Regions from separate parts of the Mus musculus genome. Here region 2 is reported to be linked to region 1. The links are microRNA targets in miRTarBase. Many come from high-throughput screens and were not tested one by one. Region 1 holds a microRNA gene; the other region holds the end of a gene's coding sequence.
The links. Region 1 holds the annotated microRNA mmu-miR-874-3p (CUGCCCUGGCCCGAGGGACCGA, at 6,095-6,116, shown strand). A microRNA usually pairs through its seed, bases 2 to 8, with sites in the 3' UTR of a target mRNA and lowers its output. Matches are read on the target gene's strand: a 7mer-m8 pairs with bases 2 to 8, a 7mer-A1 pairs with bases 2 to 7 and ends in A, and an 8mer does both.

Region 1 (15,454 bases):
GTGCTTACAAGCCTTAGTTCTACGAAGGAAACTGAGGCTCACGGTTCAGTGACTTGCCCGAGTGTCAGCATAGCCAGTGCCCACAATGGTGGGAACCAGATGGAACCTGTTCTTCAAATTGCACCTAGTCCTGTGCAAACCCGAATGTGCGCTTGATGGCTGCTCTTATCACCACATCCTCTTAGGGGAGGGTACAAAAGGGACTGGTTCTCTCTGGCCATTTGCCTTACAGTCCTTCAGTGTCTTTTGTTTTTGTTGAAACATTAAGATGAGACTTTTAAATATTTTATTACATTTCTCTCCGTGTGTCTCTGTGTCTGTGTCTCTCTCTGCCTCTGTCTGTCTGTCTGCCTCTCTTTGTGTGTGTTTGTGTGTGTATGTGTGCATGTGTGTGTGTGTGTGTGTGTGCATGTGTGTGTGTGCGCGCGTGCATGTGCATGTACGTGTGCGTGAACCACTTGTGGGAGTCCATTCTCTTCTTCCATGCTGTGGGAGCCTGGGACTGAACTCCAGTTGTTAAAACTTGGTGGCAAGTGCCTTTACCCACTGAGCCATCTTGCTGGCCTATTCTCACCCTTCATTTGAAAGTGAAGAAATTTATATTTCTTTAATTGTAGAAATATAAGTATATTGCATATTACAAAACCACACTGCAGTTTAGAAGTAACAGTCACCCGGAGCTGCCTTGGCGAGTTTTCCTTTCAGCAGTATCTCTGCACATTTATTCGGGGATATCTGAAGATGCACCTTTTCCTGTATGTGGGATCTTCTGTGAAGGCTGAACCATGTCTCTTTGCCCCCACTAAAGCAAGCGCTACAAATGGAGGGTACGGAGCAAGTCAGCATTGGCGCAGTGATGGGTCTGGGGGCTTTGCAGTATGTCTGTACCATGCCCACTTCACGATCCACTGTTGATGGTCTCTGGAATAATTCTGTTTTTGTAGTGTGAGTATATCTGTGTCAAGTACTCTTTATTAAATGACATATCTTCATTTGTGTCTCTTTAATCTTGAATGATATTGATCTTGCTTTCATGTCGTTATTCATACTTCTTTTGGTGGCGATGCTCTGCTTATGCCCTCTGTCCCTGCCTCTGGTGGAATGTGTGTTCTTAACAGCAGTTTTTTAAGGGCCTTTTCTGTATTGAAGGGCTCAGGTCTTTGTGTGTGCATAGTTTTTTAGTTTGCGGTTTTCCTTCTCAGCTGTTTATGAAATTCTCTTCCGATTCCTGCTTAAATTTTGGTCTTCTCAGTAGCATCTTTGGAAGAGCAGCACTTATAAAAATCAGTGACTTCAACTGACAAGAAAACTGGTATATGTCTATCATGTACATTATGATTTCAAATATTCTGAAGTATTATATATTATAGAGCAGCAAAACCGAGCAATCCAACATATGGTTTGGCCACATCCATTTAATTAATTAATTAATTTATTTATTTACTTATTTTTATAGCCAGAACATTTACATTTTACTCTTAATGATTTTCAACAATGTAGCATTTTATCAACTGTGGTCACTATGCTGTGGAGCAGAGCTCTTGAATTAGCCTTTCTGCATGCACGGGAAACTGTGTATCTTTTAATTAATGGCTCCCTGGCTATCATCCCTTCCTCACTCTCCGTTGTAACTACTGTCCTGCCTGTCTCCGTGTTTACCTGTTTTAGAGTCTGCATGCAGATGAGAGCTGTCTTCCTGTGCCTGGGTTATTTCTTTAGTGTTAAGCCCTCTCCCTTCAAATGTGTTGCAAATGACAAGATTTCCTTCCTTTTTTCAGGACGAATAATATCCCACTGTGCTGTGTGGTGGCTTCTCTGTCCTGTCATCATAGACAAAGGCTGAGGCTGTAGCTCAGCCTTCATGGACGAGACTGTAGCGATGGCGCCTTCTGACATACTGATTTCATGGACTTGGGATATGTATGTGGTAGTGGGATTGCTGGCTCATGTGTCAGACTATTTTTAACTTTCTGAGGAGCCGCCATACTGTCTTCCCAAGTATCGGCGCTTGGAAGAGCAGATGCCCACGCCTGACAGTTTCAATTTTTTTTTCTGTTGTGATTTATTTTGAGTTTAAACTGAAAAAAAAAAAAAAACCCAACCCACCCTTCACTTAACTTATACTTTTCCCTGTAAGTTTGAAGATTTAAAGTCTATGGATCATTTTCAGAATATTTTCAAAATATGTTATATGAAGTAAGGGTCATATAACTGATTTATTCTTTATCCGAATATCTGGTTATAGCATACCACATGTTGAAAGGGCCCACCCCTTCTTAGTCCTTGCCCTACTGTAAGTCATTGAGTCTGTGCCCCCTGGTCTGTCCCTGGCTTCTACTCCGTGTCTTGGCTCGTCTGTCTGCCTCATGCAAGCACTAGGCTACCTTGCTCACTGGCTTCAAGTCTGAGGTATTCCTGACTGTTCTATTCTTGGGCATGGTTTTGCTAACTTCAGAGTCCGCTCATTATTTCTGCAAGAAAAGCTGCAGGAGTCATCGGGGTTGGATTCCATCTCTAGGTCAGTGGGGATTGGGGCGGGGGAGGAGTTATCTGATGGTTGGCCTCAGTCTGCTCCTGTTTATTTGGCCCAGTGACTTCTCTCAGCGATGTTTTATCTTGTCCATGTATGACTTTCGACTGTTCGCTGTCAGATTTATTGATGGGTGTTCTTGATTTCGATACAATTATCAATGTTGTTTTTCCGTGGGCAGCACTAGGAATTGATTCTAGGGGCTCACGCAAGTGCACTGCCATCGACTTATGGGAAAATTGGTGCTGACCGTTCACACCACAATGGTTTCTTCCTAAAGCCTGATCTTTACTAGATTATTGCTCATCTGTGGAACTGTGATTGCTGGGGAAGGTTATTTGGTGAAGGGAAGGGAAGTTATTTGGATCTGGGAAGAACCGGAGTTGGTGGTTTCCGGAGCAACATGTACACGCAGCTTGAGGCTTTGACAACTATTGAGGGTTCTCTTCTGCAGTATACACTTCCACCCTGAGCTATGTGCTGTGGGAGGCAGGCATTATCTGCTGGTGTCCTTGGCATACAGCCTGGGTCCTGGCTTGGGGCGGTCTGATAGCAGCACTCTCATGAACGATTGATATTTTAGAAGAAGAAATAACCATCCTGGACCCAGTGCTGACTGACTGCTCACCTCCTGTTTGTTCCCTGCTGCCTTCAGTAGCCACGCGTGTGATTTTGCATGGATGTAGCAAGGACGGGCACCCTGCTTTATAGAATGTTCAGTTCAGCCCGCAAAACCACACAACGCCGAGTGAACCTAGTCACCACTCCTGGGAGACCACAAGACACTTGGATTAAATAGACAAATCTCAGCTGCCACCTGCACTTGGCTGTACCCAGTCACCTAGGAACTCATCCAGCTCAACCAACAGTTGCCCAGCACTGGGGTAGGTGTAGACAGGCGAAGACTTGGAACCATCCATTCTTCAAGAGACTGCAAACGAAGGGAGGGGAATCAGACGTACCGGGCAGTTCCCATGATATAAGGGTCATAACGAGGGAATGCCAAAGATGCCCTTGCTCTGTGGAGGAGAAGAGGAGAAGCTTTCTGCTGGCTGGAGCACTTAGGTACATGCAGGCTGTCTGAGGAGCTCCCCACTGGGTACCCGGTCCCACCCTCTGATGGCAGCTCAGGGTGATCTTGCTTCTTCTCCACCTCTGTCCTTGTCACCAGAAGCGTCCACAGTATCACGGGATATTGCTTACATAGCAGTTGCTAGGCAGCCTCTCAGCGTTTTATGCTGAGCATTAAACATGCGCTGTCTTCGTGGGTCAGGAAGCTCTGCTGGTGGAGAACCCTGGGATGCACTAGGGTTCAGGGACTCACCTAGGGCTTTCCAGCTGGTCCATGGCTATGCAAGGCATGATAGTCGCCATGGTGATGACAGTCCCGGATCTCAGTTACCTAGCAGTGTGCTAAGTTCCCTACAGTTATTCCCTCAGAGAGCTTTCACAGTTAAAATCACCCGGTTTTGAAGATAGGTGCATGCTGCCTACTTGCCATCGTCTGTTTCCATAGTCCGAGTTACCTTAACCTTCCTGGCTCAACACAACAAACATTGAGTGTCCTGAAGTTTCTGAGGGTGGGTGCCCCAGGGTGGCTTAGCTGGACTGTGCCAGCTCTGGCTTCCCACAAAGCCGAGCTGGTGGTCAGTGTGTCAGCCACCCGAAGGCTCATCTAGGGAAAACCTCATTCCCATGGTTGCTGGCAGTCTTCAGTTTTTCCCCTGTGCAAGGTCGCTTGCTTCTCCAGTGAGGGACTCTAATGCATGAAAGCGAGGGGCACACTCAAGGCAGAGCCTTGCTGTGACCTCATCACAGGACATCCACCTCATCACCTTTGCTGTTCTCTTTGATAGACACAATCACCAAGGTAGCACACACATATAGGGTGAGGAATTAATTTGGAGCCTGAGTTGGAGGATCAGGTGTCTGCCCTGTCTTTGAAGTGCAGCCAGAGGGTGGTTAGGCCAAGATTTAGGCTGTAGGTGAGGCGAGCTCCAAACTCTTCTATGGCATGGCCTCCAAATGACACAGAAGCCTTTTATCTCAGTCCTCTGTGGGAAGGCACCTGAGCCCTGACTCCTAGGAAATCTCTCTGCGGATGGCCAAGGAAGGACGCAGAGGCCTGTGGGTTACACGGAGGAACAGGCGGGGAATTCCAAGGGCAGACTGGTTTGAGCTGTCACAGTTTCAGCCCAGACAGGCTTTTTGATGCACCCAATTTGGAGAATTGGAGGGAGGGGAGAGAGATTAGCGCGGTCTCAGCATTTCTCAGCAGTGGTGACTGTCTGCTAGCAAAGTCCTTTCCCTGAAACAGAGAGGCAGACTTCCTTGAGATAGCCTCAGAGGGTGACAGGAATGTGTTCCCGAGCTGGGGACAGGCAGCTCATCCTGATACACTCCAGCAGAAACAGCTAATACCATCTTGGCTCCCACACCTTTGGCACCCAGCATGCCCCCTGAGGCTGGGTTGCTATGGACAACCAGAGGCTGCCTCTCAGTCTCAGAGCCTGCCTGCCTGCATTGCCCGGATCCACAGATGGCAGCAAGAAAAACAAAATCAGGTTCCAGGAGGAGTAAAGGAGACCGTCAGGAATGTTCTGAGCACAGTGTTTTCCTGTGATTCCAGCTCAGTGGGCACCTTTGTCCACCCCCTCAGAAATGATACAAAAAGCCGTTTAGGATGGGCATATGCAGGGCATGGCAGCCTGCTCCTGATTGGGACTGTCCTGTTTTTAGATAAAACTGTTGGAGGCTAAGGCTGCAGGCAGGCAGGTAGACAGGGTGACCTCACACCTGGCCCAAGCCCCTTGATTGGCACCGCCTCTCTTCCATCTCATTCCACGCCCCACCAAACACTCTAGGACCCTGATGACCCTCACCGTGGCCCCTGGGCTTCTTACTCCTCACTCTCATTCAAGGCTCACATATATTTCTCTTCTACATTCCCAATAGTCTCTTTTAGCAAACCACTCGAGCATCTATAATGGCACCCAGTACCTACCTAATGACTCCGCTTGTGGTTTGCCAAGCCTGGTAGCAAGTGCACCGTACCATGCCAGCCTACAGAAACCGTGTGAGAAAGGTCCTGGTTTTCAGATAATGCAGGTGCTGAAAGTGAGGCCTATGGAGGTTGGAAATCTTGCCTGTGCTCAGCAGCTGTCTAGTAATGCCTGGGTTCAAGACAGCTGACTAGTAATGCCTGCTCAACAACTGGCTAGTAATGCCTGTGCTCAGCAGCTGACTAGTAATGCCTGTGCTCAACAGCTGCCTAGTAATGGGCTTGTGGCTGAGCCCAGATGTGTCTGACCCCAGTGTCCATTGTCTTTCCAACCCTTTAGTCTCTCTTTGAACTTTGCCTTCCTGCTTTCTGGTTGACACATGCTCCGCCCCCATCCCCGCCCCACCCCCAATTGTTTCTTGCCATCAGCTCCTGCAAGGGGCACCTGTTGCTTAGGAGCCTGCGTGGACCAGTCTTCTACTCTACTGGACACACTTCCTTCGGATGAATTTTTTGGTGTTAGCCCTGCGGCCCCACGCACCAGGGTAAGAGAGACTCACTTCCTGCCCTGGCCCGAGGGACCGACTGGCTGGGCCTGCTTTCTGCCCAGCTCACCTGTCATGGAAGAGAGTTTGGACACACTCCACTCTTGCCCCTTGAAGAGAGTGTGCATAGCCCGGGCAGCCCTCAGACCTGACTGGACATCCCCTGTGGCCAGGGTTAGAGTCTCGATCCACACACGTTTACCATCTGCTCCGGCGTGTTTATTCTCACAGTCGTTCTCCCGGAAGCAGAGTAGTGGACAGCGAAAGAGTGTTGAATGTGTGCGTGCAAACTCACTCAGCAAGCAGTTGCCGTTTTAAGAACCAGGCAGCAGCCTCACCAAGATAAATGGCCGTTTGACTTTCCATAGTGACAGTGTTCTCCTTGGGAGGTGCTAATGACCATCCTGTCAAGGTGGAGTTCAGTTTGCCTGTACTCAGGCAACCAGAAATCTCCAGCAAGCAGAACTGCAGTCCCCTAACACAGCAACAGCTGAGACCTGGGATCAGGCCGCCAGGGCACCTGTAAGACTCTCAAGTACATTGTATTTTTTAGGAGGATTATGTGACAGGCAACTAGTTTTATTGTTATTCCAGAACCAGCTCTTCTCTTCCTTTAGACCTCTGCATACCTAGCCTTACCCAGGGTCACCTCAGCGAATTAATCATTGTTGCTGGGCATGATGGGATGGCATGTGTCTGTAGTTTCACCAGGCTGAGGCAGGAGGATTCCTCGAGTCTAAGAGTTTGGGGCTAGCCCAAATGACAGTGAAACACTTAATGCAAGTTTTATGGAGGTTGTGGACACATTGGGAAGCTTTCAAGCAGTCGTTCTCAACCTTCCCAATGCTGAGACCCTTTAACACAGTTTCTCATGTTGTGGTGTCCTCTAACTATGCAATTATTTTTGTGGCTACTTAATAACTGTAGTTTTGCTCCTGTTCTGAATTATAATGTATGTAGGATTCTGTGTTTTCCAGTGGTCTTAGGCGACCCCTGTGAAAGGGTCCTTTGACCACCCGAGGGGTCACCATACACAGGTTGAGAACTACTTCTGTATCGCTAGCCTGGAGGAGGGAGCTGGAACATCTCTGAAGTTTGCCAGGAAGCTGAACTCATTAATGGCCCCTACCCCTCACTCAATGGATATGTCCGTGGCTGCCATTTAAACAAGATGTGGTGGGAGGAAACATGCAACCTGACTTTTCTTCAAGAATGATTCTGCTGACTCAGACCAAGGGCTCTGAGCTGAGACATGCAGGAAAGGCACATGAAGACTTGGTCTTGGGAGCACTGCAGCAAGGCCAGATCTGTGGTCTGGGAGCACTACAGTGAGGCCAGGCCTGTGGTCTAGGAGCACTGCATCGAGGCCAGACCTGTGATCTGGGAGCACTGCATTGAGGCCAGGACTGTCATCTGGGAGCACTGTAGGGAGGTCAGGCCTGTGATCTGGGAGCACTGCATCAAGGCCAGGCCTGTAGTCTGGGAGCACTGTAGGGAGGTCAGGCCTGTATGTCTTGGTTTGCTTTGGAAAAGATTAGAGGCCAGAAAAGCCTCTGAGCTTTGAAGACTTTGTGACCTGCATTTGGATCACAGACACTGTGGACCAATTCTAAAGAACCAGTAGCCAGCGATATGGGCAGTGGGGGAGTCTGGCATCACAGTTGATCTTGTGTATGGTTGCCAGTTTGGGCTTCTCTTCTCCTGAGGTTTGAGCTCCCACCAGCACACGGCATAGATGACCCCTCCTCTCTTGCGTGACATGTAGTGATGAAGTAGAAAGCAATGTGACAATTCAGCACAGCAGAAATTGTTCATGGCGTACCATCAAGAAATCCCTACAGGCCAGAGGATGAAGATACGCTTCTTGGTGTCCACTGATGCAGACGCAGAGCCCTGGCATCTCCCGGGACTGTGTGTTAGGGGTGTGTTAGATTCTCAGCCGAGCTGCTGAATCGAAGGAAACTTGAGGTGGGGCCCAGTGGTTTGTGTTTTTGCAACCCTGAAGTTTAAGGACTGCGGGGTGGATAAGGCAGGCTTTGGATGATGCTCAACCCCGTGGCTTACGCTGGCTAACCAGGACCTTCACACTTCACACTGCCTCTTAAGAAGGGTGTTGGAATGCCAGGAAGGGATACCAACAGGGGCAGTGAGAGTTTGCCCAAGTTTATCTAAATATGCAGACTGTTGTTTTCTTTGGAACCTTGGTTCTTTTTTTTTTTTTTTTTATCAATAGCATATAGGATAGTTCTGAGGGCACAGATGCCACAAGTAAGTAAGACTGTTCATTAACACAGCCAGAAAAATGGCTTTGCTCTGATTTGGCCACGCCCAGTGGCAAGAAATACACACGAACTGACTGCTCTCCAAAATATACATATAAGTGTGTTTAACCAGGACAGCTATTTCACAAAATAACACTCAGACCGTGTATTCCCTGTGCTGTTCAATTTGATGTGTCCTGGTCACAACCCATCTAGTCGGTGACATGACTCCCTGATGAAGCCTACCCTGCAGGGGCGCTATTGTTGCAGTTCCTGTCTAGAACAGGAAGAGAGCCGGGCAGCCTCACAGTCTATGTCAGGGGGCTTGGGTTCCCTGTCTGCGCTGCCTCGCTTTGCTGAGTAACCTCTGGCCGTTTACTTGTGGTTTCTGGTCCTTATACTCCTCGTCTGTCAGTCACAGTGACAAGTGAATGACAACCCACCTCGCATGCCTGGCTGTGTCAGCCACAGTCTTACTTGTAGGAGAGAAACACACACACACACACACACACACACACACACACACACACACACACATACACACACACACACACACGCACACACACACTTTATGTACCATTTTTTTCCCAGAACACTGTCAGTTAAGTAACTCAAATAGCCACCAAAACCACCAGAGTGTTTAGAAATTATTTTTTCTTTACCATAGATGATGATAGGTGCCCTCTGCAGTCCTGATACTTAGAAATACTTATGTGCCATCATATTATTCTAAAAATGTATCCAAAAATCTGTGCTTTCCACCTCACATAGGTTTGTTTGCCTCAGTATAAAAATTGTGCCCCCCCCCCCCCATCTTGTGGGTACTGAGCTGACAGAAGATGCTTTTAGTATCACGGGATCCCAAGTGAGGGTATTCGGAAGACGTGTGCCTATACTTGTTCTGTACTTGACATGTTGACATGCAGGCTTTCCTTGAATATGCACACCTCCCCCCCCCCCCCCCCCCGCCACCAGTGACTAGGGCTTTGTCTTAGTTAGGGTTTTACTGCCGTGAACAGACACCATGACCAAAGCAACTCTTATAAAGGACAACATTTAATTGGAGCTGGTTTACAGGTTCAGAGGTTCAGTCCATTATCATCAAGGCAGGAACATGGCAGCATCCAGGCAGGCATGGTTCAGGAGGAGCTGAGTGTTCTACATCTTCATCTGAAGGCTGCTAGCAGAATACTGGCTTCCAGGCAGCTAGGGTGAGGGTCTTAAAGCCCATGCTCACAGTGACACACCTACTCCAACAAGGCCACACCTCCTAATAGTGCCATTCCCTGGGGCGAGCCTATATAAACCGTCACAGGCTTCCTTTTCCTGTCTTTAGCACCACAAGCTAGCAGGCAGCCCATGGAAGGGCCACGGGTTGGCTATCCGTTCCCGTGCGTGTTAGTTACCATGCACTTGTCTTTCCTGAGGTCATGATTGTGGTTGGTGGCCAGGCACCCAAGGCGATCCGCAGCGTGGAGTGCTATGACTTCGAGGAGGGCCGCTGGGACCAGATAGCCGAGCTTCCCTCCAGAAGATGCAGAGCAGGTAAGCGGCCCTGGCCAGCCCTGACTCACCTGGGTTCCCAGCAGCTCTTCCTCAGCTGATGTCTGCCTCATGATGGCCGTGACAGCCATGAAGCCTTGCTCCTTATCACTGCAGACCCCCTTCCTACCTGCACTGTGGGGCTACTTGCTTTGAAGTCAGTTCTTATGTGCTTATGAGTTTAAGCTGATTCTGGACTTTGCACAAGTCAGGTGATATTAGACAAATACGGGAGAGCTGAGTCCCGTAATCACTCTCAGGTGTCTCGAGCTGGTGGTAGCCTCCCCAGGAGGCTGTCATAAGCCTACCTTGTCACCCATCAGGTTGGGCAGTCATCCCCATCCCCGACTCTCATGCCCTGTGTTCCTGCATCACAGGTGTGGTGTTCATGGCAGGCCACGTGTATGCCGTGGGTGGCTTTAACGGCTCTCTGCGGGTCCGGACAGTGGATGTGTACGATGGAGTGAAGGACCAGTGGACGTCCATTGCCAGCATGCAGGAGCGCCGGAGCACCCTGGGTGCGGCCGTGCTCAATGACCTTCTCTACGCAGTCGGAGGCTTCGACGGCAGTACCGGTAGGTCCAGGACCACGTTGCCATTCCTTATTCTCTGGGCAACCTTGCTTTGCTCGGTCAGCTCTTGGGCTCGTCTCTGTGCCTTGTAGCGATGCCCCGGGAATGAACCTGTCAGATCTAGTGAGCTCTCCTTCCCCGACACAAGATGCTCACACAGAAAAGGTATCCCGTGGCTCACCACTGTGCAGGTTTCAGTCCATAGCCCGTGTGGACCTGTGGTGAGATCTTTCATCATGGTGCAGTGTGGCCACGTGAAACTGCTCTCTTCATTAGCCAGGAAGCAGGAGGAAGGGGAGAGACTGAGATCTTAAAGGTCACCTCCAGTGCTAAGGATCCTCTCCCAAAGGTCCCGCCAGTTCCCAGCGCCACTACTCGAGAACAAGCCTCCAGTGTAAATGTGGATCTCCAGGGCACTCAGGAACCAGACTCCTAAGTGCTTTCCTCCTCAGTTACGCAGTTCTGTCGGTGGAAACAAGACTTCTGTAGCCATAGCTACTCTGTGACACAATACATCCTGAGGAGGCCCCCGCACGCAGAAGGGTCCCTTCCTTATCTCCCCACACTTAGCCTGTTTCCTCAGAGCATCATGTAGAGGAAGGGGTTTGCCCTGATGGGATCTGCCTCAGGATTCTAGTCTGAACATTTTACAGAGCAGCTGAGGGACCTTAAGATTGGGGCCTAAGGTGCTTGGCTCAGAGCAGGCACTGCACCCCGATTGGCCATCAATTTTTCTATTGTCCCATAGAGCCCTGCAGGCTATATCACTGCTCAGGGGCCCCTCACCCCCGCATTTTATCTCACTTCAAAATTTTCAACCTGGGACCTGGAGAGAGAGAGAGAGAGAGAGAGAGAGAGAGAGAGAACGAATGCACGCATCGGTTGCTCTTCCGCAGGTCCCAGGTTCCTTCCTTCCTTCCTTCCTTCCTTCCTTCCTTCCTTCCTTCCTTCCTTCCTTCCTTCTTTCCCTCCCTCCCTTCCTCTCTCTCTCTCTCTCTCTCTCTCTCTCTCTCTCTCTTTCCTTCTGCTTTCCGAGACAGGGTTTCTCTGTATAGCCCTGGTTGTCCTGGAACTTGCTCTGTAGACCAGGCTGGCCTGGGACTCAGAAATCCGCCTGCCTCTGCCTCCCAAGTGCTGGGATTACAGGCATGTGCCACCCAGATTCATTTCTAAGCATCCGTGTGGCAGCTTACAAGCATCTGTAACTCCAGTTGCAGGGTATCCGATGACCTCTTCTGGCCTCCACAGACACTGCACTCATGGAGTGCACAGACATACATGCAGGCCAAACACTCACACACATAAGAAACAATTGTAAACATTTCAATTTGAAGTGTTAGTGGGTGTGAGTTTGGAGAGAGGACATCTGTGCTTACGTCACCAGACAGGATACTGAGCCAGGCAGTTTATCGAAGACAGTGACTCCATCTACAGCAGTAGTCTCTGTCTCTGAGGGAGATAAATGCAGTGTTGTTTGTTTTGTTTTTCTTTATTGAACGTCTCTCTGACAGCTCCTCAGTGAGCATAAGCTAAGAAGGGCATAGATGGTTATTGCAGTGGAACTTCTTCGGCAGAGGGGAAAGCCTGGCTGACTGCTGTATTACTCCAGAGACGAAGCATGGAATTCAGGGGTCACTGTTCCCAATTGGTCTGACTGCACACAGATACTGGGGCAGAGTACCTTAAGATCCTCAGGGCTTCTCCCATGATCACAATATAGTTTGCTTTGACTCCAGCCAGGGTGCTTGTGTCTCTAGTAGCAAGAAGCGGAAAGAGGTCACCCCTGCATCAGAAATGCCAAGGGAACCCCAGAAATCTTCGTCAGAATTCTGCCTAGGGCTCAGGGTCACCTACCTGCATGGGATCTTGGGAGGTACATTTTTAGCCATCTAGCTTGTAAAATAGAGGAAGACACGGGAAGGGGGTTGGGACTGGTGCCCAGTAGGGGCATCATGGGGCGTTTATTTGGGATCAAATGTCCCATTCTGTAAGTTTAATGGCTCGTATCTATAGTACAGTTAGGGCATACCCCTAGCTTTCTTACCAGCTCCCTTGTATGTCACAGAACCATTGGTAGTCAGTGGTCACCTTGTGCAGATTGAGGAGTTACCATGGCCACACACTAGGCAGAGGTGTACCAAGCTAGATATGGAGTCTGTAGACCTGCCCTCATCTCTTCCTGGTCTCAGCATTCCTCACACGTCATAGCGAGGCCCATGGCTGTAGAAATCCCACCATTCTCTTCTCCCCAGGCCTGGCATCCGTAGAAGCCTACAGCTACAAGACCAATGAGTGGTTCTTCGTGGCCCCTATGAACACACGGCGGAGCAGCGTGGGAGTGGGTGTTGTGGAGGGTAAGGAGGTAGCAGAGGGTGGTGGCTGCTCCTACCCTAGCCCGTGGGTCTTGTCCTGAGTCCAGTATTGTGCTTGATGCCCCCTCTACTGTGGGCTCCACTCTTAAGGTCACTGACCAGAGTTAAGTTCATTGTCTCTAGTAAACAGACTAGGAGGGCTGAGACTGGGTGGGGAAACTCCTGAGCCAAGGCTACGAAGGGGGTCAGCAGGTTGGGGGAGAAAGAGGACACTTGGGGGAAAGTGACAGCCTGTCCCTTGTATCTCTGCTAACAGTGGGGGATGGGAAGGATGTTGGAAGCTCAGAATCAACATACAAACTGGGGTACACTGTAGCAGGGAGGGGTACAAATTATGCTTGCATAATTATTATGTGTTGCATGCTAGCAGGGATGTGAGAAATGCGGGCTTCTTTTTCTCAGGTCTGACATGTCCCCAGATAGGCTAAGTATGGGGTTGTGGCTAAGGCAGGAGGGCGTTCCCTGAAGTTCGTAAAACATCTTTTTTCTTTTACTCATTCTTTCAAGCCATCTGGAAGAACACAGGCAGGACTCCGATTTTTCTCAGTGGGAAACCGAGTCCTTGTCTTATGATAGTAAATAGCAGAGAAGTCCTCAAGGTCTTATGACTCCTAATCTGGAGCCAGAGTCAGGTCTCAATTGCTGATAGGTAGAAGTTTCTGAGTTCAGTCCTGACACAGAGGCCAGGATTCTGTCCCCCTATCAGGATAAGTTGTATCCTCTTGGAGAGATACAAGTTCATTTGTCAGCCACATCCAAGAGCGTTGTCTAGCTGGCTTCTTGTTTCCCTTTTCGTTTCCCTTCTCGTTCCTCAGCCAGGAGCAGCCAACAGACCAGCAGCTAAAAACAGCATGCACATTCAGGAAGAGCCTGCTTGCTTCAGCTGATACAAGATTCGAATGGCTGATAGGGTTAGCGGAGGTGTCTCAATGGTAGAGATTGGAAATCTTGCCCGTGACACGGGCAGTGTCAGTGTGTCTGCTTACAGAAGGGCAGGCAAATGGCTTGCCCTGCAGGTGTAGAGGGAAGCTGGGAGTTTGTTTCTCTTGCCCACCCTGCACCTGACGCTCTATGGGCTGTGTGCTGCCTCATGACGGCAGAAAGTGTTTCTAAGAATGTGCAGGGTGCACTGGAGTGGACTGTGCTTCATAGTGGTTAAGGACTCAGCTTTCCACACAGCCCATTCTCCAGGCACATCCTCACACTACCGAGGCTATGCAGTCTGAATGACCCTTAAGAATTACAGGGTAATTAGCTACTTGCAGCTTAGAAGAATCCCTCATAAGGACAAGGTGAGGTGTGGGTTGGAGTGTAGACAGAAATGCCCAACAGAGCAGAGAATCACAGAGATGGGACCACCTGAGCTGGCACACACGGAGAGGTGGCCCCGGGGGATTTTGTTTGTCAGCTTGGACCTTGTGAGTGAGGAGCTGTGCATGAGTCCTTTTTCAGAAAGGTCAGCTGAAAAGACTTGGAGAAAAACACAGCTCAATGATATAGGATTTCTGGATTGGTAGCCTTGATGGTATAGCGCTGTTTTGGGCCCGAGAATGTGAATTTTCACATCCTGGTTGCACCCTCCACGTTAGGGACTCATTTAATGGCTCACCCAAAATTCTTGATTAAGTAATTCAAACCCTGTACTTATTTAGCCTGCAGCTAGTGTCAATATGGTCTGTGGCTGGTGTCATGATATCCTGTAGATCTGATATCCATAGGTGAAGTAGGGCTTCTTTCCCTGTCCCCGCAGATAGGAACTCTCCTATTGTATCTAAGACTAAATGTTAAACCCCATATATTTGAATCCCTGTCCTCACAGGTCAGATAATGATTCCCCTCTCTTTACTGCACCTAGCGCCTAGCTCCCAGCCCCAGATGGAAATGGCTCTCCCACGGGAGGTCAGCCTTATTTTTATTGAGGGATACTTGATAATACTTCAGGGTTCTTGTATACAGCTCAGAGAACAAAGTTGGCCGGCAGAAAAATCCCAGCTGCCTCAGCCCTGGGTGCACACAGAGCGCTTCCCTTATGGCGTGGGTGGGGCTGGAAGAATATTCTTCTGTATCCTCTTCACTTGTCAGTATGAGCCTATGTCCAGAAAGCCTGATGTGTGGTCATGGTGGAGAGCCTTGTAGCTCCCGTTGCTGGTGTGCTTTAACCTAGCTCCTCAAGCAAGCCTATATCGAACCCCATTGATGCCAAGTGGGTGCTCTGTGCTGGGTACCTGGGCCTCTTTTAGGAAGCTTCAACATTGCTTCTAAGCATCTCAGGGCTTCAGAGCAGGCGGGTATGTGGCGGGGTGGAGGTGGGGTGGGGGAGATGTGCCCTGTGTGTGGAGAGCAAGCTGGGTCCTTCTGGATGATTGAGACAGAGGTACCTCTGTGGGTTAAAAATGGAGCACCAGCCAAGCTCCTCCGGTTCTGTGTCAGTGCCACCAACACCAATCTCAGTCACTTGGTCTATTCCAGGGAAGCTGTATGCCGTCGGGGGTTACGATGGTGCTTCCAGGCAGTGCCTGAGCACCGTGGAGCAGTACAACCCAGCCACCAACGAGTGGATATACGTGGCAGACATGAGCACCCGACGCAGTGGCGCTGGTACGTATGTGAGAGCCTTGGGGCACAGGAGAG
Region 2 (15,454 bases), not on the chromosome of region 1:
ACAGGAAGGAAAAACCTACCAGTCTGTCCTCAGGGCAGGCTTTTTATAGGAAAAAACAGGTTCAAAAGTTTTAAGGCAAGCCGGGCAGTGGTGGCGCATGCCTTTAATCCCAGCACTCAGGAGGCAGAGGCAGGAGGATTTTTGAGTTTGAGGTCATCCTGGTCTACAGAGTGAGTTCCAGGACAGCCAGGACTACACAGTCTAGAAACCCTGTCTCGAAAAACAAACAAACAAACAAACAAACAAACAAACAAAAGTTTGAAGGCAAGCAGTGAAGTGGTACAACATTTTTTTTTTTTTTTTTTTAGACAGGGTTTCTCTGTGTAGCCCTGGCTGTCCTGGAACTCACTTTGTAGACCAGGCTGGTCTCGAACTCAGAAATTCGCCTGCCTCTGTCTCCCGAGTGCTGGGATTAAAGGTGTGCGCCACCACTGCCCGGCATGGTACAACATTTTTGGCTAACATGACAAACTATTATCAGTCAGCCTTTAAGCTGATTGGTCCTGAGTGAGGTGAGAGGGTGGTGGACAGGTGGTGAACAGGGGAATTTCAGAACATTGAGATAACAGAGGACAAATGATTCAGCCTGAACTTTTTGGCTTATTAGTAACATTCTTTAGTGTCAGCTATGGATAATTACTTCTGAGAAATAAGAGTCTAGGAATCTGAACTTAATTTCACCTTAAGAGCAAAACGGAGACTGAATACAAAATGGTTATAGTTATGTTAAAAGGAACAGGCCTCAACACTCCCAAATTTGCTTAACTAAAAGTGTAGGACCATTTATTTATTTACAGCATTTTTGCTATGTATTAAAGGCTTGGCTTGAACTCACAGTGTCACCCAGGCTAGGCTTGAGCTCAGAGCAATCCTCCTTTCCTAGTGCAGGGGTTACAGATGTGCGTTGTCAAACCCAGCTGTAAAAAAATGCTTTACGTTTAGTCAGTGCTTCATAGTTTACACTTACCTTTGCGTTCATGACCTCAGGCTAGCCCAGCACCAGAGGAACACAGCGAGGCAGCTGTTTGCTCCTCCTTTGTGGGTGAGAATCCTGAGGGGTTGGTCATAATGATTTCTGAGGTATCTGTGGTGGTAGGGAGGCATCTCTTGGCCTTGGCATAGAACCTTCTCTTGGGAAGGTTCTTTGAAGCAATAGAGGAATGATGGTGGAAGCAGAGTGTGGTTCCTTTTTCCAGGCCTTCTCAGAGACAGGTGACAAGGAGACAGGGGTAAGACTTGTTTCTGTCTCAGCGCAGATTCTCACCCAGGCCGTTGAATCCGAGGGTGGCTTTCTTGAGGACTCACAATGAGCATCCTTTCTCATCCCCAGGGGAAATGGCATCTTGCTGGAGGGGGAGCTCGTGGATGTATCTCGGCACAGCATCTTGGATGCCCATGGCAGGAAGGTGAGGCCGTATCCTGGTTGGCCCTCCCAGGGTCTCCTCCCTCACCCACATGATATCTCCTTGTGCTGGGTTAAGATCCGTTACTGAGGTCACAGAACAGATTGCTACAGCCAAGCAGGACTGGTAAAAGGGGGACTTACAGAGCCTTGCAGTGGGTAGCAGACAGATGAGAGGGACTACATGGTTCTTGCAAGAAGAACCTCTGCTACGACTGAAAAGACAGACAGGCCCCCAAACCCAGTCTAGCCTGAATATACAGAGCTCATGTTGACATCCGGGGTAGCCGCTCCTGTACAACCTTCTGTCTGTGCTTCACAGCCTCTTCAGGATGTGTTCCTAGCCCACACAGTCCAGGTGTCCATGGGCACTCACAGCGGTCAACCTGTACCAGCCCACATCCCTTCTGGGTCCTTTCAGACAGCCTCTTCTAGCGCTGACCACACTGTCTCCTGGGTCCTTGGTCTCTAAATCTCAGCTTAGCATCAGGCCCTCCCAAGGTGGGCTGAGGCCGGATTCTTCATTCAGCCTTGTCCGTCTGTCTGTCTATGTATCTATGTATCTATGTATCTATGTATCTATCTATGTATCTATCTATGTATCTATCTATGTATCTATCTATGTATCTATCTATCTATCTATCTATCTATCTATCTATCTATCTATCTATGTATCTATCTATCTATCTATCTATCTATCTATCTATCTATCTATCTATCTATCTATCTATGTATGTATCTATCTATCTATGTATCTATGTATCTATGTATCTATCTATCTATGTATCTATCTATCTATCTATCTATCTATCTATCTATCTATCTATCTATCTATCTATCTATCTATGTATGTATCTATCTATCTATCTATCTATCTATCTATCTATCTATCTATCTATGTATCTATCTATCTATGTATCTATGTATCTATCTATGTATCTATCTATCTATGTATCTATCTATCTATCTATCTATCTATCTATCTATCTATGTATCTATCTATCTATGTATCTATGTATCTATGTATCTATGTATCTATGTATCTATGTATCTATCTATCTATGTATCTATCTATCTATCTATCTATCTATCTATCTATCTATCTATCCATCCATCTATCTGTCTGTCTATCTATCTATGTATCTATATATGTATCTATCTATGTATCTATCTATCTGAGATCTGAGACAGGGGTTTCTCTATGTAGCCCTGGCTGTCCTGGAACACCACTTCTAGAGCAGGCTGGCCTTGACCTTAAGAGCTCCTCCTCCCTCTGCTGGGATTATAGGTGTGCACCATCATGCTTCAGTATATGCATTTGTGTTATACTCCATGAGAGTAGTCATGCTACTGGCTGGTCGTTTTCATGCCCAGAGATCTTGCCACAACTCTCTGCTCTTTAGATTGCAAGTTGTAGGGGGACACAGCGATCTGGAGTCTCCACCCAGCCTGCCCAGGAGAGCTGTACCAAGCTGGTCTGCCTCAGCTGGCCTGGTGCAGGCAGGTGTTCACCTAGACCCTTTCCAAATGTGTCTCTTGTGCCCTTAACTCTCAACGATACATACGGCAGAAGCCATGTCCTCTTCCATTTTGTCACTGGTTCCTTGTAATGTCCCTGAAAGGACATGTCATGCTATTCCAAGAAAGGTGAAACTGAGGCATACAGAGCTTGGAGTGATTTGCCCACTGCTGTGTCTGTGGGAGTAGCAAGGTGACTGCCCTCCTTGAGGTCATGGCCTTTCTGAGGCTTGCTGGCAACTTCAATCCTGCCTTGTGGCCTGTAGGGACCTTGGTACTTGGATTAAAGTCACAGGCCATTGGCTGTGTGGAAGCCTTGGAGTCGGGCCTTTTGTTGTCCTGCTATGGCTTTTGTAGCATGCTCTATGTGACTCTAGTAAGTATAAAGATGGGTAAAATGAACAAGTATTTAAACGAGGCATCTGTCCAGCCTATGCAGCAGGGTAGCGCCAGGGATGGGATTCTGGAGCCGAGGGTGAGATGGGCAGAGGCTGCAGGGAGAGCCTGGGCTATGTGTTTTGGGTATGCTGGGATTTGGGTAGGGAGTGAAGGAGTCCCCTCACCCTTTCTTTGCCTCATCCAGGAGCGCTACTATGTGCTGTATATCCAGCCCAGCTGTATCCACAGGCGTAAGTTTGACCCCAAGGGAAATGAAATTGAGCCCAACTTCAGTGCCACCAGGAAGGTGAACACAGGCTTCCTCATGTCATCTTACAGTAGGTATCCTGGGCTCTTCCTTTTCTAACAGCCTTCCAAGAGGCTGTTAGACTGACTTGTTTGTCTCCTGAGGTCCTTGACAGTGGATTCTTAGCATAACTTGGCTTTGACGATGTTTCTGGCTTGAGCATCCCTTGTTGGATTTCTTCCCTCGAGGCCCTCAGAATTCCCCAGTGTCCCATCTTAGCCCTGGGAGCCAGGCTGGCATTCCTCCTTTTTTTTTTTTTTTTTTTTTTTTGGTTTTTCGAGACAGGGTTTCTCTGTATAGCCCTGGCTGTCCTGGAACTCACTCTGTAGACCAGGCTGCAGGCTGGCATTCCTAATGGCTTCCATCTCCTGAAGTCTGGCAGAATCATTCCCAGGCTTGGCTTCCGGCTCCGACTATCACTGTGCGGGGAGCAGGCCAGGTCCCAGCAGTCTCTCTCGGTTCTCCTACTGGATGTTTGCTTTTTGGCTCTCAGTCTATCTGTGAAGCATATTAGTTACTTTTCTTGTTGCTACGACAAAATGCCTGACAAACCAACTTTAAAGAAGAAAGGGTTTATGTGACTTCCACAGCAGGAAGTCAGACAAGCCCTGGGAACACTGTGCTGGGCGCAGTGGTATTCATGTAAGCTTTCAGCAACCTTATGGATGGCTATGTCTTGGTAAGCCCCACCACCTGCAGGCTTACCACTTGACTTCCTCCCTGAGCTCCTGGGAGTTGCCAGGGCTAGCCTGGAGTAGGCCAGTAGAGGGTGCTGACCACAGGCTGGCTGCTGGATCTAGAACAGAGTCTCAGTGGGAAGGCAGTGGGTGTTTGAATGCTGCCCCAGCTAAGTCTTGGTTTCTCTCACCACTGAAATGGGAATAACGAAAGCAGAGACCCCTGCTGAGAGTGGCTGGAAGCCAGACACTGTGCTAAATGCTCAGCTTGCTTTTTCTCTTCTTTTCTTTTTCTTTTTTTCATCTGTATTGCACACCATTTTTATCCTCATTCTCCAAGGACAAAGAGAAAGATCTCTTGTCCTAGATTGTGCCAGAATCTAGATTTACTCCAGGTAGCCTGGTTCCAGAGTCCAGGCAATGACGCCTCTGCTGTGGGATTCTCTGATGAGCCCTAGCAAGACAGATGTCCTCACCAGCTCCTGAAGATCCTCAGAGAATGTTTCTCCTCCGGGAACACTAACCCTCCTGCACCATATGCTCTACAGAGGTGGAGGCCAAGGGCGACACAGACCGGCTCACCCTGGAGGCGCTGAAGAGCCTGGTAAACAAGCCCCAGCTGCTGGAATTGACAGAGAGCCTCACCCCAGACCAGGCGGTGGCATTCTGGATGCCTGAGTCAGAGATGGAGGTCATGGAACTCGAACTGGGGACTGGAGTGCGATTAAAAACTCGGGGTGATGGTCCCTTCATAGGTGAGCAGTATGACTCGCTTTGCCTGTTCCAATAGCCTCTGGGGCCCCTGGCCACCTTTCAGAGGCTCCCCTTCTTTTGCTTAGAGTAATGGGAGAAGGCCAGGTGGGGTCTCCCATGGGACATGACCTGTGATTTTGAGATTTACTCCCAAATCTGTGGCCAACTGCTCTGGGGCAGTTGGATATAGATCCACTATATCCCAGGGTATCATCTAACTCCTTACTTCCTGTGGCTGACCCTTACTCTCTAATGGTGTGGGAGTCCCACCAAGAACCTTAGTGGTCACACCAGAGAACAACCCAGACTTAGAGGACTTAGAATGAAGGGCCGTACGCTGACTAATCTACCAGGAGAAAGGCCATTGAATTTCTCTTCTTTCAGATTCCTTAGCCAAACTGGAGCTGGGGACAGTGACCAAGTGTAATTTTGCTGGTGATGGAAAGACGGGAGCTTCCTGGACAGACAATATCATGGCCCAGAAGTCTTCAGAGAGGAACACAGCAGAGATCCGAGAGCAAGGAGACGGGGCAGAGGACGAGGAATGGGTAGGTGAAGGGGGCAGCTGTGGAACTGGCCCGGTACTGTTGTGTCTCCTGGTGGGAGTTTATACATAGAGGGTAGGGTTGAGGGCAAAGGAATAGAAGGCAAGATAAATTCCGTGTGCTTCCAGAGAGGGTGTTAGCATCAGGGAATTAACAGAGGGTGACAACCTAAGGCTTTTCTTACTGGAGGAGCTGACCTGCCCTATGGACGGACACAAAGCCCCAGAGATGTATAAAAGCAAGGGTGGGAAGAAAAGATTACAGAAGGAACCAGGGACTCTCCTTTAGTTTGGAAATATTCCTCTTGTAGTGCTACACTCATCATGGGCTGGCCCTTGAGCAACCACATGGTTTTTTTCCTCCTTAGTCTAAACTGGGAAACACTAATGTCTCCTGTGCCGAGGGTTAGCATCCTACTTAGTTTGCGGCTTTTATTTAGTTGTTCATCTGAAGTGTAGTCACCTAAAGGTTTGAATTGATACCTAAAGCCTCCAAATAGAGTAGGTAGAGCAAAGCAGCTGCAGAAAAATGGGGGATTTACCTCAGACATTGACCAAAGGTGAGAGGAGTGAGTGCGGTGGGTCTGGGCTCCCGGCTGACAAGTGGTGGGGTTGCTGGATGGGCTCTGGAGCCAGCTCTGAGGAGGTGAGGCCAAGGCAGTGGCTGAGGGTTCTCTGAATACCACAGGCCCAGACCCTCACCTGAAGATTGCCAGAAGACTGTTATGAATTCGGTCTTACTCACAGCCCTTGACTGGGCCTCTTTGTCTTGTCTCCAGGATGACTGAGGTGCCTCCTCAACTAGACCAGCATCTGGGATGGTGTCGCTGAGAAGTGGCCACACCAACTTCTGCCTTGGAGAGATCAGGCTGTCAAGCAGAATATCATTGAACACCCTCTGATGAAATCAAACCCAAGACCTCAGTACTCACCAAGGGTCTCCAGGCTATGGCTTTTGTATGTCTGTGGCCCTCATTGGATGCAAGGCTAGCTTTCCTAGATCTATCTCCAGTATTCCTTTCCCTAGGTAGCAGGCATGGACTAGATGAGTCCTCCAAGGTACACAATTGACAAAGGCTCCTTGTCTGAGTCCAGAGGGACTCAGGGGGTAAGAGCGCCGGCTCTTTCCAATCCTGCAGTTTTCTCCTTTTTTTGCTTTCTACCCTGTGCCAGCTTCTTTTTGTGCCTCTGTTCTCCTGTCCCAGTCTTCCTCTGTCTGTTCTTCCCTGTCCCACACCCAAGATACCACTTCATTATTTCTATTCAGCTCTGTGCCTCTGTGGGCTTTCCTGCCTTAGATCTCTGTCTTAGGGCTCTTACTGCTCCAATGAAACCCGACGACCCAAAGCAACTTGGGGAGGGAAGGGTTTATTTCACTCACAGATCCGTAGAACAGTTCATCACCAGTAAAGCAGTGAGAGCAGGAGCTCAAGCAGGGCAGGAACCTGGAGGCAGGAGCAGAGAGCGTGGTGTGCTGCAAACTGGCTCGCTCTGTTTGCTTTCTTCTAGAACCCAGGACCACCAGCCCAGTAATGGCATTACCTAGAATGGGCTGGGCCGGGGTACTCTAGCTTCTGTCAGGTTGACATAAAGCTAGTTATCACACACCTATCTGGCTGCTGTCCTAAAGATGCCATTTTTGGGAAGGCCTTCAGCCTTCCCAGCTGTGTCTAGCCGGTCCACAAGTCTTGACTCATTCCACTGGGCCAACTTTTTATATTTTTAAAATATTTTCTTTTTAATAAATAGTGCTGGTACTTAAACCTAGTGCTCCATGCTTGCTAGGTGAGTGATCCACCACTGTCTACACCAACAAGTCCCAGACCGTATTTTTTGGTATGACTCTTTTTGTTGTTTTGTACTTGGAGAACTTCTTAGGAGTGAGTACTCTTCGGGAAAGAATTCCTCCACACGACTGGGTTCTTGTCTCGTGTTTATGGTCTTCTAGCTGAGTCACAATCCTAGACGAGAACCCCAGTCTTAGTGTGCCCCTGCTCAGCCCTGTGACAAGATCTGGAACGGAAGTCTACACGTCTTGAGTGTGACCATGGCAGGTGTACGCATCCTGCCTGATCCTGGGAAAAAGGGTGAGGGAGGACAGGGATTACTGATCCGACTTCATGGTTCAAACTCAATGACAGATGCTTTCTGTCACCAGTACTGACAATACTGAGTTCTTCCTGATGCTAGTGCTTAAGTTAAGTACTTGGAGTAGTCTGTCACAACAACCCTATGATGTACATAGGATAAATATCCCCATTTTTGATACATAAGACTGAGGCTTTGAGGCTCTATGAATTGTATATATCGCCAGAGAAAGGAATTTGCATCCAGGCAGTCAGTTTCAAAGGCTACATTTCCTTTTTCAGAGGGAAGAGCTCATACATTACAGGTTGACCTTGAGCTTGCTGTGTTGCTGAGGATGACCTTGACCTTTGAGACTCCTGCCTTTACCTGCCCAGGGCTGGGATTACAAGCATGCATCCAAATGCCTGGTTTATGTGGTGCTGGGGCTCACACTCAGGGCTTTGGGTATACTAGGCAGGCACCCTGCCACTGAAGCTACATCCCCAGTCCTAAAGTCCACACCCCCACTCCCACATCCTCTTGTTCCTATATCCAAAAAAACTTTTTTTTTTTTTTTTTTTTTTTTCCGAGACAGGGTTTCTTTGTATAGCTCTGGCTATCCTGGAACTCACTTTGTAGACCAGGCTGGCCTCGAACTCAGAAATCTGCCTGCCTCTACCTCCCGAGTGCTGGGATTTTTTTTTTTTTTCTTTTTGAAGGAAGGTTTCAGTATATAGTCCTGGCTGGCCTTGAACTACAGAAATCTGCTTACTTCTGCTTTCTGAATGCTGGGATCAAAGTCTACATTTTTGATCACCAGACTTCTGCTTCCACATGCAAACCATGCACAAGGAAGGAAGAGAGGTTCAAGGGAGGAAGAGAGGTTCAAGCAGGTCAGACAACTAACTCTCTCAGTTCCTAAGGAGAGAAGCCAGGATTCAAGTCCAGAGCTTAGCCTCTTCCTTGTCCCCTGCCACAAAAGGTTCTTGGAAGGCAGGCGTGGTGGCACACGCCTTTAATCCCAGCACTCGGGAGGCAGAGGCAGGCAGAGGCCAGCCTGGTCTACAAAGTGAGTTCCAGGATAGCCAGAGCTAATCAGAGAAACCCTGTCTCGGGAAAAAAAAGTTTTTTGGATATAGGAGCAAGAGGATGTAGAGTCACATCGTTGGTGTCCCCGTATCTGGGGTGGCTTACAGACTAGTCCTGATGGGGCCTTACCCTTGAAGGTGGTGGGGATGTGGTTCTCCATAAGGGTAGCAGGTGAGAGATCACTGTGCTCTGGTCTGCAGCAAAGACAGAGACAGAGAGCGAGAAAAGGGCTCATGCCCAGAGGTATTTAGAGAACAGAACCAAGTCCCAGGAAAGAGGAAGGAGTCAAGGAAGATGCTCATACTCTGGTGTGCACAGTGCTGGGCTGCAGAAGGTTGTTTAGCGGTAGCCCAGCCTGAGGCCAGGCTGAGATCAGACTCCGGGGGAAGGGGAAGCCATATGTTCTGTAGAAAAGAACAGGATCTCAGAGACAGGCTGGAAGTTCATGCCTAGAATTCCTGTGCTTGGGAGGCAGAGGTATAGACAGGGTTGCCATCAGTTTGAGGCTAACTGAGCTACAGACTGAGACCCCACCACCACCACTTCACAAACCCAATACCAAAAACCACGCAAACAAAAGAACATCAAACATTGGTAAGATAGCTCCGTGAGTCAAGGTGCTTTGCCACCAAGCCTGAAGCCGAGTTCAGTCCTCAGAACTCACTTGGTGGGAGAGGGAGCCAACTCCATCAGTTGTTTGCTGACTCATGCACACAGCAGCATCTGGGCACCCCAACATACGCACGCACGCACGCAGGCAGGCATCATGCACGCATGCAAACAAAGAAAAAGTAAAAGATTTCAGGCTTAGCAGTTAGAAAAACCGAGACAAAACCCTCTTCGCAGGACAGAAAGATGGCTTGTCTCAAACTGTGTGGGGTCCGTAAATAGCTGGGAAAGACCCATATTTTCATTCTGTCCTGTTAATAATTGTTATTATCTTGGCTCTTTAACACATAATGTTTGGATGTTACTTTTCCCATTATTGTTATGTCATCACTGTCAAAACACATAGTCATGTTTTTCTTTTTTTTTTTTAATTAGGTATTTATTTCATTTACATTTCCAATGCTATCCCAAAAGTCCCCCACACGCTCCCCCACCCACCCACTCCCACTTCTTGGCCCTGGCGTTCCCCTGTACTGAGGCATATAAAATTTGCACGACCAATGGGCCTCTCTTTCCACTGATGGCCGACTAGGCCATCTTCTGATACATATGCAGCTAGAGACACGAGCTCCGGGGGGTACTGGTTAGTTCATATTGTTGTTCCTCCTATAGGGATGCAGACCCCTTCAGCAACTTGGGTACTTTCTCTAGCTCCTCCATTGGGGATAGTCATGTTTTTTGGGACTTTTGATCACAAATTCCTGGAGCTCTGCCTGTGCTGGCTTCCACAGTGCTGGGGTCAAAGGCACTTACCACCAGCCGACTCCTCACTGTATTTTTGATGGTTGAGAAACAAGATTCTGGAGTTAGATCACTGGGAATTGGCACCTGTAAAAATCTTGTTAGATTACCAAATGGTTTCCAAAAAGGGTTGTTTTGCATCTATTGGTGGTGCACGCCTTTAATCCCAGCACTCGGGAGGCAGAAGCAGGCAGATCTCTGAGTTCGAGGCCAGCCTGGTCTACAGAGTGAGTTCCAGGACAGTCAGGGCTACACAGAGAAACCCTGTCTCGAAGAAAAAAAACAAAGCCAAAACCAAAAAGGATTGTTTCAGACTGCAGTCTCAGTATCAATGGAGGAGAGAAGCAATGCCATGCTACTTTGACCAGAATTGGGGAAGAAGATTTTGAATAAATATTTGATAAAGTGAAAATTATTAAATATACTTTTATTTGCCCTTTCTTCTATTTATAGTGAAATTAAATGTTTTTCATTTCCTGTATCTACTTCTTTAAACAAAAAAGGTTTGGTTTTTGTTTTTTTTTTTGTTTTTTTTTTTGTTTAGATTTATTAGTGTGTGTGTATGGAGGTCAGAGGACAATAAGTTTGCCCTCTGATCATGTGGGTTCTGGGAATCCAGATCAGGTCATCAGGATTGGCAGCAAGCATCTTCACCTGCTGAGACAGCTCACTGGCCCCTGCGTCTTTTTCTTTTGTTACTCCCATTGAAGGATGGCTTCTAGCTTTTGCCTTTCTCCTGCCTCTGTCTCCTGAGTATCGCAGGTATGTGCTGGCATACCAGCTATAGTGCTGGAGACAGAATCCAGGGTTTTGTGTAAGCGCTCTGCCACCTGTGCTACATCTCGAGCTGTATCATTATCATACACATTTATTGCTATTAATGTTGTGTGTGAACATGAGTGCACACGTGCCACAGCAATGAGAGACAAATTTTGGAAGCCAGCTCTCTCCTCTCTTGGGTTCTGGGCATTGAATTCAGTTTGCCAGGCTTAAAGGGCAAGTGAGTTTGCCTGTGGAGCCATCTCCCAGGTCCTTACTCTGTTTTTTCCTTACCTCTTTAATCCACTGTGGCCCTAACATATATGAAAGTATGAAAAAACTAAGCTGCTTTTTCTTCAAAGTGTTAATCAGTTATCTCAATAGCACTTGTGGAATTCCTTCCTACAGCCAAACTATGATAGCCCCTACATCATATATTAAAATTATTTCATGCCAAGGGCTTGGAAAGACTACATCTCTTCCAAACGACTGGAGTTGCTCCCAGCATTCACTTCAGCTGCTTATAAACTCCAGCTCTAAGGTGGCCTCTTCTAGTCTCTGAGGGCACCTGAAGCAACATTTGGACATATACACATACAACATAATTAAAATTAAATCTTTAAAATTGTTTACCACAGACTATTGTGTTATAGTTCAATAATACTTCACCTTTTAATTATGATTTGAGGCTTGTGAGGTAAAGGCACTGCCAAGTCTGATGGCTTACATTAGATCTTTTACACAGCAAGAGAGAACTGACTCCCCAAATTGTCCTCTGATTTCCACACATGCACCGTTGCAGGCGCGTGGGTCCTCTCCAAAAAAATCCATATAAATGTAACTTTAAAACATACTTCAAATTATCCTGCTTGGTTTGATTGGTGGGCAAAGCTGGTTCCTTCTTGCTACTCTGTTTTAGAATTGTCTTTGACATTTCCGTCCAACATTTGAATCATTTTGTCCCACTTCAATGCAATAGTCATTTGAATTTTTATTTACTAAAATCCCAGGGATGTATGTGGTGGTGCAGGCTTTTAATCCCAGCATTTAGGGTCACAGAGGCAGGCGAATCTCTGAGTTCAAAGCCAGGCAGGGCGACACAGTGAGACTCCGTTTCAAAGAAAGATAACATATAAACAAACAAACGAATAACTAAATGAATAAATAAATGAGAAAAGGTGTTACCAGTTTGAGACCAACCGTTCCGTTTATGTGGGATTGGATGAGAGATCCCGTATGATGTCAACTTTCACCATCTAAAGGAGAGAATGACCGTTTGACTGGCAGACTTTTGCCTAATTCACTGCAACATAAAAGCCTAGCTTTTGCTAGTCCAAGGTTAGAAGAAGAAACACAAACACCTACTGGTCCCTCAAACTGGCGCGGCTGCTGGCAGGAATTGCCAGTCTCGATGCTTGCTGCCGACACGGTTGGCTCCAGGATGGAACCAGAATGAGGGGCTCAGTCCCAGCCAGGCTTGGATTCGTTCCCAGGCTGGCCAAGGCGACCGTGCTCCTGGGCTTCTACAGCCGTGCTCCCCAGGAAAGCGCGCCGACCTCTCAGGGTGCCAGAGCGGCAGGACACTTTAGTGCTCGGTGCCCAGGGGTACCGAGACTAAGTTTCCGGGAGCAGCTTTCAGCGGGACACCAACAGGAAGTGTTCGTGTTGTGCCGGAAGAAGGTGCGTTCTTGGAGCAGGTGGTACCGAGAGAAGCGGGACCGGCAAAGATGATTCAGGCGATTCTGGTTTTCAACAACCATGGAAAACCGCGGCTGGTCCGCTTCTACCAGCGTTTTGTGAGTGCAGCCCCACCAACCATGCCCCTGCGGAGCACCAGAGCCATCCCTTCCCCACGGCCCGCAGCCGCGCTCAGCAGCATCTCCTGCTCTGGCACCGTGCATGACCCACCCCCCTGCTCCTCCCTCATCCTTCCTGGATCTTGGCTTTTCTGTGTTTTGTGACACTTTCCCTTGGGTCTTAGGGACAGACTCAGTACACAGTGTGCCGCATTGAGATATTGGGTGACAGCCTCTGTCTTTAGTTTTTTGTTTCTGTATTTGTTTTGTTTTTTAAATTGATGAGCGTAGTTTTGTGATGATCTGGTCGTTGGGTTCTTTTACGTTTATTTTTTCTCAAGGGCATGGAGAGAAGTTCTTTCGTGGAATCACTTGCTTCAGCATTGGCTGGCACTTATCAGGGTTGGGATACTTTTTATCCTGTAAGGTTGCAGAAAGTCTCTTTTAAAATTAGGGGGAAATGAGCTATTTTTACAAGATGCCAGTTGTAGTGGTGCACACCTCAAAGCTCAGAACTCGGGAGATGGAGGCGAGAGGATCAGGACTTCAAAGTTATCCTCAGATACACAGCTAGTTCTAAGCCAGCTTGAGCTACACCAGACCGCATCTTAAGAAATCATATAATTAAACAAATAAACAAATGCCATCATGGAATGCCTCAGCAATGTTCGTGCACATTTGAATTTTCTGGAAACATTTCCTTTGGGGAAACGCAGATGCCGTTCTTTGCCTTCTGTACCCCAATATTTTATTCGTGGTTAGGTTTCAAAATATCCTCCTGAGAGACTGGTTCTGTCTGAGAGGGAATAAAATCAGAAGACTTTCAGGCTTCAGCCCCACCTTTTGTACACGTTAAGAAATGTCTTGCCGGGCGGTTCTGGCACACACCTTTAATCCCAGCACTTGGGAGGCAGAGGCAGGTGGATTTCTGAGTTCGAGGCTAGCCTGGTCTACACAGTGAGTTCCAGGACAGCCAGGGCTTTAGAGAGAAACCTTGTTTTGAAAAACAAACAAACAAACAGAAATGTCTCTGGGTCTTTTATTCCTTTTTTCATCATAAATGAAAAGTATTTGCTTTTTAAAATAGGATTTTCCAACTACGTTTTTAAATAGAACACTGAATACAACTTCAATTTTTTGTTGTTTATGTTTTTCAAGACAGGGTTTACAACTTCAATTTGCACGTGCATTTGTTTCTCCTAGTTTCTAAGTTTTTCACTGAGCTAAAAATCACTATACAGCTACTTAATGTATGCAGTTTAGTGGCATCTGTCACAATTTGAGAACATTTTTATCTCTATTAAAGAAACTTACTGTTAATAATCAACTACCCTGTTCACAATCAACTGCCCTGTCCCTAAGCAAGCAAAACCAAAACCCAACCAACCAACCAACCAACCACCAAAAGAGATCCTACCACAGCCTTCCACATCCTAGAGTTATAGGCATGCACCACTGTGCTCTGCTGGTCATCTGTGTTTCCCAGTAATTGCTCTGAACATTCATGTGTTGAGTTTTAGTATGGACATTTCTTTTTATTTCTCCTGACTTCATATGTAGTAGAATCATTAGGCCACATAATAACTAAGTGGGGAACTGGAAAAGTGTTTTCCTAGTTGTATATTGTTATCAGCAATGTATCAGTATTGCAATTTCTTCATGTCTCCTTCTGAACTAGGAAGGGAATTGAGAGCACCCCTCCTTCTAGGCAGTCCTCCACCACTGAGCTGCATAATCCTAGCCATGTTGTCTTTATTGAAGGCATTTTAGTGGATGAAAATCGATCGCCTTTTGAAATGGTTTTGATGTCTAGTTTCTATAGTGACTAAGGATGCTGAACCTGTCTTGCGCTTATTGGCCATTTGTATATCTCCATCTGATATAGATCATATAGATCATATATATGATCTGATATAGATCATATAGATCACAGAATTGTTTACGAACTGCTGGAGTGAGACTGCCTTGAGAATTGCAGTGTAGTAAAAAGACAGGACGGGTTGTTAAAGTAACCGGGGCATGTAAGCAGTGGGCAGTTTGCCTTTTTGTTGAGCCAGTAGTAAGTTGGCCCCCTTGTTTGATACCACCATCCCATCCCCACTGTTTGCCAGGTCCACCTGTAGGTAGATAAAGGGCTTTAGCTGGAAAGATGTTTTGTCAGTTTGCGTGCTGATGCTTAGTGAGCGTTGTGTTTCTGAGCACACAGAGTTCATCTTTGACAACAGCCTAGCAAACGTGAGCTTGGTGTGCTGTTCACATGGAAACCAGGAAGATCGTGATTGATTTGTTCCAGTTTGTGGGGCAGTGATTGGCAAGTTTGCATTCATACATTCAGTAGATACTGAGAGATTTTCAGAACGCACACTGAGCCAACCATTTCCTCTCAGTGATTAGTTCCCTGTTTTTTTTTTGTGCCCCCCTCCACCCCTCTTAATAGCTTTTAAAGAACTGGCCATTTCAAAGCTAAGATCAGTGGTATAGTATGAAAGGGATTAATTTTTTTAATGTATTTTTCTGGTTTAAGGAACATTGAAGGTGAACATTTTTCTTAGTTATGCAGTCCAGAGTGTAGTTCCTAGACCCGAAGCACTGCTGTTTGTGGGAGCCTGATAGAGCAAGAGTCTCGGGCCCCTGCCCAGGCAGAGGAAAGCCGAAGTGCATTTAAATATCATCCCCAGCCGACTCATCACACCATGAGAAGACTGACCAGAGGGCTTACATTACTCATAGATTTATTTATTTTAAGTGTATGAG

Region 2: miRTarBase lists Arpin as a target of mmu-miR-874-3p. Seed matches in the 3' UTR shown: 7mer-m8 at 7,013-7,019.

The regions. Positions count from the first base shown.
Region 1 is chr13:58,013,797-58,029,250 of GRCm38, reverse strand. Mir874 (microRNA 874) reads left to right here and starts at 6,051; the gene lies at 6,051-6,126. Klhl3 (kelch-like 3) reads left to right here. Exons shown (of 15, transcript NM_001362415.2): 9 at 9,765-9,882; 10 at 10,257-10,454; 11 at 12,704-12,805; 12 at 15,293-15,421.
Region 2 is chr7:79,917,755-79,933,208 of GRCm38, reverse strand. It overlaps Arpin (actin-related protein 2/3 complex inhibitor), which reads left to right. Exons shown (of 6, transcript NM_027420.4): 2 at 1,331-1,406; 3 at 3,504-3,636; 4 at 4,831-5,037; 5 at 5,420-5,583; 6 at 6,359-7,850. The coding sequence ends at 6,367. 5430400D12Rik (a long non-coding RNA gene) reads right to left here and starts at 12,560. Exons shown (of 2, transcript XR_003946805.1): 1 at 12,270-12,560; 2 at 6,932-12,160. Ap3s2 (adaptor-related protein complex 3, sigma 2 subunit) reads left to right here and starts at 12,569. Exons shown (of 6, transcript NM_009682.3): 1 at 12,569-12,700. The coding sequence starts at 12,632.